2 linked regions of the Caenorhabditis elegans genome follow. The protein of the gene in region 2 interacts with the protein of the main gene of each other region in a pairwise test. Each region holds a gene or a part of one and is shown on either strand. Other genes may lie near its edges.

Region 1 (5,266 bases), on a different chromosome or scaffold from region 2:
TTTAGACCTGAATGTCAAAACGCCAGTTTTGCATCTCTATTTCAATAACAATCCTCATCATCATTATGCCCTTTCAACTTCCATTTTCGGACTTACTGTCAAAACTAGTACTGGTTCAGGGTACTTGACCGAAAAATGGCATTGTTTTGACAAGGACGCAAATAGGCAGGCAACGACACCAGTAAAGAAAAAAAACGAAAAAAAAACTTCAGGATTCAACTTTTGCTGCTAACTCCTTGTCTTCTCCGAGAATTTAGTTCAAACAGGGATTAAGCAGAGAAAGTGTAGGGCGAGAATAAGAAGGATGCGAAAAAGTAAGAAGAAGAATAGAAACGAAACAGAAAAGAATGGAAGAAGCCACTATGAGATTGAATTAACGAAATTGAATCGAATCTGTGGGGGCATCACCAAGTCTTCTCTTTCCGAAATGGAATGAAGAGGAGCCAAAAACAATAGTCAAGTTTACTGCTACTTGTCACATGGATATTGGTGGGCTCCGATGACAAGTGAGCATGATATATGCATTTTCTCAAGGCGGACATATGGATGAAAAATGATCTGGGAAGGCAGATCCGTTGAGAAAGAATTTTCAAATTTTAGGGTGCACTTTTTACACATGCAAAGAATGTAATCCACTCCAATTTTGGTGAGAGAGGTGAATGAACCATTGTGTCAGGTAAGAGAGAAAGAGAGAGGGACAACGGAAGGAGAAAGATGCAAAATGAGCGGAATGGGACTGTGTTTTGTCACGAAATAGTGTTATGAAGCAGGAGACGTAGAGGGTACAGTCCTCCATTTGAGGACATACCAAGATTGCGTAAGAGGGTAGACGAGGACTGTGAGGTAGAAAACAGGTAAGTGAGTGTGATGAGAAGGTAATAGGGGATATAAGAGATCGCAGACAAAGACAGATGGAGCTATTGAAGCGGTGGAAATAAGAAATAAGAAATTCTTAAGACAGGTGCCGAAAAAGGCTACCAGGTGGCTGGATTTTACGGAGATTCGCGAGCAAGTAAAACCGTGAAGCAGCGGTTTTCTTTTATGATAATAAGCGTAAAATAGTTGAACATGGAGAAAAGAGGTTACCTTGATATGTACCATTTTCGAGCAAGTCACCACTGTCGAGAAGCTTATTAAAATCATCTACAGACACAAATCGATAGTGTTCTCCATCAACTTCACCTTCTCGTGGAGGTCGAGTTGTGTCTGAAAATGGTCACTTTGAAATTGAAATTTGTTTTAACTTCAATACTTGTCCCTCCATAATAATCTTTTAGATCAATAACAGGAAGAGATGTTCGTTTGGAAAGAAATGCAGGTTTTAGTGAATGTTTTGGTAAAGGCGAACCGAACATTTTAACACTTCCACTGGTGGCCAGCTTCGGACCCTCCCCCACCTTGTGATGATCCCCTAGATCCTAAATCACCTAATTTAATGGGGCGGATGTCTAGGTTTCTCTAGATCACACACTATTTCATCTCAATGATACTCCCTGTGGGCAGCTGCTAGTGCCATTGAAAACAATGAGGTTTTGAGGAATGAAACTTATAAGTATTAAATCCAATCTAGTTAGTTTCAGATCAACTTTTTTTGTAACTCACAAGGAACTGTCTTCTGATATAAATTTTCTCGAATGATAGTCTGAAGTTCACCAGATGATTTTCTATCGGCCAGTAGTTCACAAATATCATCGGTAATTGCTCCAGCTGGTAGAATTTCAATCGCAATTTGATCATGTTCTCTCATCATATCTTCCAATATCCTATTCACTTCAGATCTTACCATTCCTGATACTTTTCTGAAAATTTAAATAATAAAAAAAGAAATGTTCTAGAAAACCTACATGTTCTCAATTGTTAAAAGAATATCGTTAGGATGAACAATTCCAATTAAATCATCACGTCGCACAATATCAATCAGAATGAGTCGTCCAATTGAGGCTCCGCCATGTACTGTAAACGGGGTGATGACGTCTCGAGATGAAGAGTTTCCAGAGTCCGAATGGCAAGAAGATGTCGTGGAAATATGATGATGTTCACTGGCAATACGGATCAGTCGACGAGCAGCAAGTCCGGATGGCACTAGAATATTAAAAATTATTTTCAGTCTTTTTTTGGCTATTTCCTGATTTTTGGTTTTTTTTTCAAAAATGATCTTTCTTGACTTACAATGATTTTTTTTGCTTTAGTTGTTAAATTTTTATTCGGAACCCAAACAAAAAAAAATTTTAAGACAGTCTTGATGAATATTAAAAAATTAGGTATTAACGTGTGCTCCTACTGTGTTTCTTTTGACAGTGAAAGTATTCAACTAGTAAAATTTAGGTTACATTTTTATCTTTAGAAATAATCGAAATATGAAATCTCAGAGTATAGAAATGTAGGTGTAATACTAATAGGGAGCATATTGTATTATATCTATCTATGTTTGAAAAAAAAACTCACTAAAGAATTAAAAACTTTTCAACCACACAATAACTAAAAGCTCTGTTTTATATTTCACTGTAAACTGAACTTTGAAATGCATGGAATATTCAAACTTTAAACTTCTTCGTTAAACTCAATATCTTTCTTGAAGGTCATAAATGATTGAATAACTCACGTTTGTCAGTGGAATCTAGTGAAGTGCTTGGGCTGCTCGTGCAATCGAGCATTTCTTGAAGAGTGGCCTGAAAACTTGGGATAGTGAGGGGAGGAATTCAGAAGGACGACGAACAAGTGGTTGGGAAGAGCCTTCCACTACTTCACTAATCCTTTTTTCTTGCGAATAAACAATGGGAAGTGGTTTTGAAATGAGTTTTATTTTGGGGTGGAGCCGTTAGACATGAAACAAATCAAAACAAACCTGAAGCTTTTCAATTTCCAATGTGAAATCATCCTTTTCTTCATCTCCAATTTTCAGGCAAAGTTCTGAAATTAATAATCTTGATGTTTATGGACTAAACTCTCAATCTCACCAGCTGTTTTGTCGGTCATCTTTTTAGTCGTGGGTTCATTAAGAGAATGTCGAGTTGGAATGTCTTCTCTGCAACGAAAATGAATTACTATCTTCAAAGTTCGGAATGGCCCATGAGAAAGGGGACCGCATAAATTTTGCGAAAACAAATAAATATTTATTACGAAACAACCGTTTGTGTGTCGGCGACCTCAAGAGAACCCGAAGGAGAGCAAGGGACAAGCAAAAGATGAGAAAGAGTGCAGTGTGAATATGAATAAGGCGCTGTCGAAATGACAAATTAATAATGAGTCAGAGATTGGAAATTGGAAGAAGAATAAATAAGAAGAAGTGCGCGCAGATTTTTCAGAAAGTTTAGCACTGTCAGGTGACAACAAGATATTTGCGCAAAATGTATTGAAAAGTATAGCGCAAAACGAGCAAGAAAAACCGAAAAATGAAGTCTTCGACTAAAAAAATTTCGCGCGCCCTATTTTGAACTCAATTTGAACAGAAACAAAACAAATCGTGTAATGTTTTGGAAGTTCGAAGATATTATTGATAAAAGAAAAAAATGAAAAAAGCGAAAAAAAATTGAATTGTTCCATGTAGTGTCTTAAAGAGGTATGTGGAAGACTAGCAGGGATGCAATACTGTTTATCGATCGACTAAACCGAGGGGCAACTCTAACACGCGTGCAGTGTACCCACCACCATTTGGCCTACATGAATTGCGGGAAATGTAGTGTGTTGTATATATTTTAGTGCGGTCACACCTGTTGTTTTCTACGGGTATCACTCAATAAATTTTGTTACTAAAAGAGACATGAAAAATATTTAAACTCTATTTTTTAGTAAAAACTGGTGTTTCTAATAAAAATTCAACTAAATAATATAAGTAAGTTTTCAATACATATTTATAATGAATTAGATAAAATTGAAATATACATGTTAACTTAATAATTTTAGAGTCATGATTACTGTAGCACTTTAAAACTTTCTAGTAATAAATTAGAAAATTTAGACAATATTTTGAAAAGAATAACATTACTTTAGCGAAAATACTTGCCACTTTCGAAAATTTGAAATTCGTCAAAAATCCCACTTTCGTTCGAAAAGCCGTGAGTCATTGCACCTGGGAAACTCGATTCCCTTCTTTCTTAATGTTGGAAAATTTTTGAATTTAAAAATAAAATACAACTATTAGGAGCTATAGTTTCAGGACAGTCGGAAAATTTTCAATTTGGTCCAGAAGGTTCGAGTTGACCGTCGGCAAGCCTAGAGCATTTTCTTGCGAGGCGCAAAAAAGCTGAATGTGATATTTGGAGAACAAACATACACTTTGCCGTTACGGCACGCACTTTTGCTTCTCGCCGATAATATGGTGAACGGTTTTCTCATAAAGCGTTAAATCCTCTGCGGATAGAAAAAGAAAGGGAGACAGGTCAATTTTGTAACATACTAATGGTAAACGCACCGAGACGACAGCGCTGGTCAGGCTCATATAATTCGTCAAGTTCTTCTTCTTCTTCTCCGATTTCTACACAAACTTCCGAAAGTTTTCAACATCTGCCACGCATCTGGCATGTTGTGCTGCAGCAGTCACCACAGAATCACAGTGATGACAGCGACTTTAGAAACAAAAATGAAGGACAAGAAGTAGAAGAAGGGGACGGCTGTTTGCAATTTGTACTCGAGGGAATCAGCTGGAGATTCGTAGTTACGAGAACACAACGAAAAAGACACACATTAATCCTGAGAAATGCAAAAATTTGATTGATGCTGAGAAGAGACAAAGGCGAAACAGGGAAAATCATGCTTCCAAAATATAGTTGAAGTTCTCTACAGAGAACTCCTATAGGAACCTTTATGTAGGTAGATCACATTATTTACTGAATTCTCAATATTCATGAAAACACACAAATGCCTACCTTTGTGCCTACATGATTTGCCGCGCGCTTTTGCAGATACTTTGGTCCAATGTAAAAACGTTGATCCCTTGGATGCTCTTAACTCCCTAGTTTCCTCACATTTTTAAATACCATTATTACTTTGACGACTTAGATCTCGGTTCATTGTGCAGATATCAAAAAAATATTCAACAACTAAGATTGTAGTGAAAGAAATAAATTGCATTAATTTTAATATTTTTGATAGAACAAAAGCCAACCGAAATATGAGCAGCCAAAGTTGAACAATTGTGGTGTAAATCTACTGGTAAGAATACGGTATTCGTTTTGATCCAATTTTTGAAAAGTTCCAGCAACTACAAAATGTAATTAGCTAAAATTTTAACATTGTGAATTTTGAAAATCTGACAGATTTTTTTTAT
Region 2 (5,149 bases):
TGAATTTGGTTAAACAAGAGAAATAGGGAGTCAAATAGGATTAACTGGCGCTTCCCTTCGTTGTTTTTTGTTGCGGAAAGAAGAGAAGATCGTTTGTCATGTTTGCCGTAAACAGGTGGTTCTATTCAAAGAAATTCAATCTTCCGGTATTGGAATCTTTTGGTTACGGAAAAGATAAAAAAAATCGTCGAACATTAAGAAAAGTGCTCCATCGGATTCTCATTTCGTGTTAAAAAAAACAAATGCATATTGAAAGCATAAAGCAACAAAATGTGATTTTTAAAAGAATTGAAGAATTGAAAACATTTGTTTCGTCTTCAAAAAAGCTCTTCCTTTACAAAAACTATGTATAATGATATTATTGAAAATACTTTCTTCTATCCATCTGAAAAAATCCGTGCGCCTTTAAGTAAAAGTTTTTTTTCAAAATCCAAGTTTTGAAAATCCAAATGTCATGGGTGCAAGTTAGACCTAGAAACAACAAAAAACAATTCTAGAAGCAGAAAAGGAACTAATTGGAGGATGGATTCTACTCTCTTTCTCCCAGTCATTACCTACATCCATCTAGATGAACGATAGAGCATGAGAAAATAAGAGAAAATGAGAAAAAGAGTGAGTGGTAAGATGTTGAAAACAAGGATGAATGGAAGGTAGAAAGCAGGTCATTGAATGAATGTAGAAAGTGAACACGAACACGATATATCGAGACGAATGAAGATACTTTAATGTGTGAGTGGGTGTTCAAAACTTGGATACAAGCCAAGTCGGGTATAAACAGATAAAATGATGCGCAATCAAATGATAAGAAGAAGGAGATGATGGTCAGAGAAGAAGCATGATTGGAAGTGGTGGGCATAATAATAATAATAAGTGGAAGATGATAGAAGATTGGATTAAAATTTATAAATTGGAGGATGGCCAATGGTGCATTAGGCAATCTGTCTAGAATTTCGTGTTTATGTTTTTCAGGAAAAAACGAAATTGCTCAAGTTTATAAGATTGCGATTTTTATGGTACTTTTAGATAAATGTTTATAGAAAATAGAAAATTAACAGGGAACTATCAATTCTGTGGTAGGCATACATATCTTTCAATTACGTAGAAGTTTATTTCCAGAAATTCTAAAATTAACTTACGAACTTATTTATTAAATGCGTCATTTTGAATCCAAAACTTATACACTCAATTTTTTATTCCCTAAAAAATCAGAGCCTCAGGTTCAGTTAAAAAACATTGATGATGTTATAATATTTGAAAAAAATCAAAACTCAGTGCTCACTTAGACCAGCTAAAAATAGTGACTTTTACTAAATGACACAAAAAATATCTCGGAATATTTTTTGGCATTCACAAAATGTCAAGTGGAATTCATCTTTTTGTCCCATAATTGTTTGAAGCAAAAATCGTGTGTGTCGGTATTAGAAATAAAACTTGAGCCAATTAATAGGGTCACTGTAGAGAAAAACTACCAAAAAAATAAGAAAAATGCAAGGATGGATGAAATGGAAGAGGAATAGTGAAGGATAGTGTCACTGCTGAATAAATAAACAAGAGGAAGGAAAAAGAAGGGAAGAATCAATGCTTTCTGGTTGAATGTCTCTGGACGACCCAAAAGTGCGCACTTTTATGAAATGGAATACTATTGAAATAGTAAGAGAGTTTAGAGATAGAAAGGATAATTGCTCAGAAGAGAGACGAACGTCTTCCAATGAAAAAACAAAATGTATTGGGATTGGATAAGAAAAAGAAATGGGCCGAAGTGTGATTGCAGAAAAATAACTGATGCGAAACGAAATGAGACACAAAAAAGAATGAAAGTGGAACCGATTGGTGAAACTAAGACTATATGTTCAGGTATCTATTACCAGCTTAGAGGTATTGGCTGAAAATTTTATTCCAAAACAATCAAAGCTTCAAAGGTGGAGAAGCGGCAATGGGGAAGATGATTCAAATCACCTCTGTGGTGCTAAAAAAGCCCAAAATTAGTTTATTTACAGCTTCCGCCTATCAGCATTTCGAAAGTCAACCGGAAAAGGTTTTTTTGCAAATATTTTAATTTTGTTTCCATTGTTCGGATTAAAATATTATTCAAGTTCAAACGTGCGAACCTTAAAGTTTTTTTTTTCAATTTTTGGAAATTTCTAAAACTTTCAATTTGCTAAAAATTTAAAAAAAAATTTTAAAAAGCTAAAAAATTTTGGAGTGTTCAATTATAATTTATTCTAATATTTTGTTGGAACTTTTGAAGTGTCAAACTGAAAATTGTGTACCCTTAGAAATGGAAAATGCAATCAAAAAAGTTGAGAACTGATCAAATAAATAATTAAACTCAAAAGTTTAGAATTAAATAAATAATGCTCTTTTTCAAATCAGATACTTCAAAAAACCTTAAAATGAAGAGAAAAGCATTCCAAAAAATAATCAACTATGCATTTTTATATCATTTCCGATTGCAAAATGGACTTGTTATCAATAAAAAAGTAAATGATAAATAGTATTAGAAATTGAGAGACACAGAAAGAAGAACATGTCTTTTTCAGTATACTCTTTTTCAAATACTACTGATTTCATTTCATATCAATAAACTATACCTTATGTAAACACCAAAATATTGAATTTTGTAAAAAAACTGTAGTGCTTTTTTCAATCTTCGTCTTTCTACAACATTAAAATGCAAATGGAGACGGGAAAACAGAAAAAAAAGCTTTTCTTACAATTAATTATTAGTTTTAAGATTCGCAGAAATTCGGGGCACAGCGTTTGGGAAGATGCCAATTATTTTTGGTAGTTTAGTAGAATACCGTACTCTGTTTGATATTCTAATATTTTAAAGTGAAATTTAGAATCAAAATATTATTTTTAAAAAACTAACGAATTTATATTAATTTAATTTTGAAGTTAAAAAAGTGTTGGCATTTTCATGGAAGTTTCGAACTACCAAAAATTGGAAATTTTTGAATTAGAATTAAAAGTATTTTCGAATAAATCTTTTAAAAAATAGTTGCTATTTTCGAACAAAATTTACTGAAAAATATTGGAAATTCATGTTTAAAAACTCATTTAAACACCTGATTGAAGCTGAATTTTAGGCCAAATCATACTGATTTATAAAGTCATAAACGTTATTTTTTCAAATAAAAATCAACTAAAAATCAAACAAAAATTACCTTTGCATTTTCAATTGATTCTGATGAATGATTCTGTTTGGATTTATAGCAAATCTTGCATTTTCCATTATTGAAAATATTTGCTTCAAACCGCTTACAGTCGTTCATTTTATATATTTATTCTAGTTTCCTGTCATGGATGTGGTCTGAAATTTACATTTTTGTTATTGACTTTGTTTGAGTGTTAAAACGGAAAGGAAGAAAATAAAGAAACATGTGGGAAAATATTGAAAAGTTGAGAAAACAAACTTGAATTTTCAATAGAAATATTTTAAAAGAGTCATTGGTCAGCTAAGACTTTTTGAAATAGAGTAGTTCACATTATGAGATATGCTTTTCCTCAGTTTATAGATTTCTTCTCCCTTTCTGACCGCAATTTAGTGTTCAATTGGTGTCCCGTGTCCCCGTGTCCAGTCGAGCCGTTTCACTCTCACTGACGAAAGATTTACGAGCCACTTTTACTATTTTATTGAGAAACTGGGAAAATATGGAACTTAAATGACCAGGTGAAAGAGTATTCAGAAAATATTAGTATCATTTTTTTCTTGAAATTTTTGGTAATGTACTTTGGGGAAGTAGGATGATGAGAGTGTGAAATTGTGTAAATTAAAACTTCTAAAATTTGTCTTTTTCATTGAAAAATTTTTTTTTGCAATTTCTACAATAAAAATCCTGATTTTGAAACAATATTCCGCGGAAAATAAATGTTTCGAAGTGAAACCGATTTAGGACCAATTAAAAAATTCTGCAAAATGTATCATCATTCCAAAAAGTTTAATTATATAAAAAAAAATCCAACAAAACTGTGTTGCTTTACAGTAATCATTTTGCCCAGCAATTTGAAATTAATTCAGTTACTAAAAAAAGTTTAGAATTTAAATGAAATTTCTGAAAGAAAACAACATTTTTAAATTGTTTCATAGTCATAGTCGATCATTTGAATTTAATTTATTATTTTTAACAACATGTTTTTGATAAAAATAACTTTTAAAAAGTTCCTCGCAGGTTACTGTAGTTGTAGCGAAAGCATTTTATATTTTTTGAAACTAAATGAATTTTTTGAGTTTTAAATTTTATTACTTCTCGTTTCAATGAATTGGATCTGATAAAAATTACCAAGACAGAAAAAAAACGGTTCTCGAAAAATGAGAAAAAGGGTAAGTGATTGGTTTGAGAGAAACAACTGATAACAAAACCAATTGTTTTCTTATCAGTTTTATCGATATTTCTTTTCATTAACAAAAAAGCTAATAATTGTTTCTTGGCCAACCGGAAAGAAGAAAAGGCTACAGAAACATGGAAATAATCAAAAAATTGAAAAACAGTAGGAAGAGAGAAAAAACGTATTTTTCGTTCGTTTCTTTATGAGGAACACAAGAAAGAAGAGGAGGAGGGTAGTAGTGGGGGGACCCCGAAACAATTAAAGATAGTAGTGATAAGAAGAGAGTGAGAGACACAGATATCAAACAGGCGTTCTTTCTTTCTCTCTCGGACCCCGGGACATGAACACGGAAAACGGAAAAGTGGGAATAGAGGGAAGTTGGTAGAAGAAGTGCAAGGACCAGTTGGTGATAAGAAAGTGTCATGTGATTGAACCATTTGGGTTTTGAAACTTTTTTTGACGAGGCTTCATAATAAATGTCAAATTTCCCAAACATTGTCAGAACTGAGAATCTAATTTTTTTTTAATGAAAATAGCATAATCAAACCCCAAACAATCAAGTAACTTGCCCTGGGAAGATGACTCTCAACCAAAACAGCTTCCACACAAGTACTCACATTCATTGGTGATAAAGAAACCTCGTGAGGCTGTTTTTATGTTTCGTAACATGAAAACTCCAATGTCTGAGAAATCAAAAACAATGCAAGAAAATGGAATAAAAATTGATGAGTCACGATCAGGAATCGGTAATTCAGAAAGAATGACTGATTTGGTAGAATAAAAGGAACAAAGATATCAAATTGGATGCGATTGACTTTTT

The links.
Region 1: the proteins of F10G8.8 (region 2) and magi-1 interact in a two-hybrid assay, tested with the Caenorhabditis elegans proteins (2 studies listed by BioGRID).

The regions. Positions count from the first base shown.
Region 1 is NC_003282.8:11,712,800-11,718,065, reverse strand, and holds the start of magi-1 (Guanylate kinase), read right to left. Parts: upstream 3,028-5,266; 5' UTR 2,977-3,027; coding exon 2,958-2,976; intron 2,911-2,957; coding exon 2,846-2,910; intron 2,670-2,845; coding exon 2,603-2,669; intron 2,083-2,602; coding exon 1,845-2,082; intron 1,800-1,844; coding exon 1,603-1,799; intron 1,542-1,602; exon of another isoform or gene 1,365-1,541; intron 1,207-1,364; coding exon 1,087-1,206; intron 848-1,086; exon of another isoform or gene 703-847; intron 1-702.
Region 2 is NC_003279.8:10,058,714-10,063,862, forward strand, and holds the start of F10G8.8 (PH domain-containing protein), read right to left. Parts: upstream 3,314-5,149; 5' UTR 3,276-3,313; coding exon 3,168-3,275; intron 1-3,167.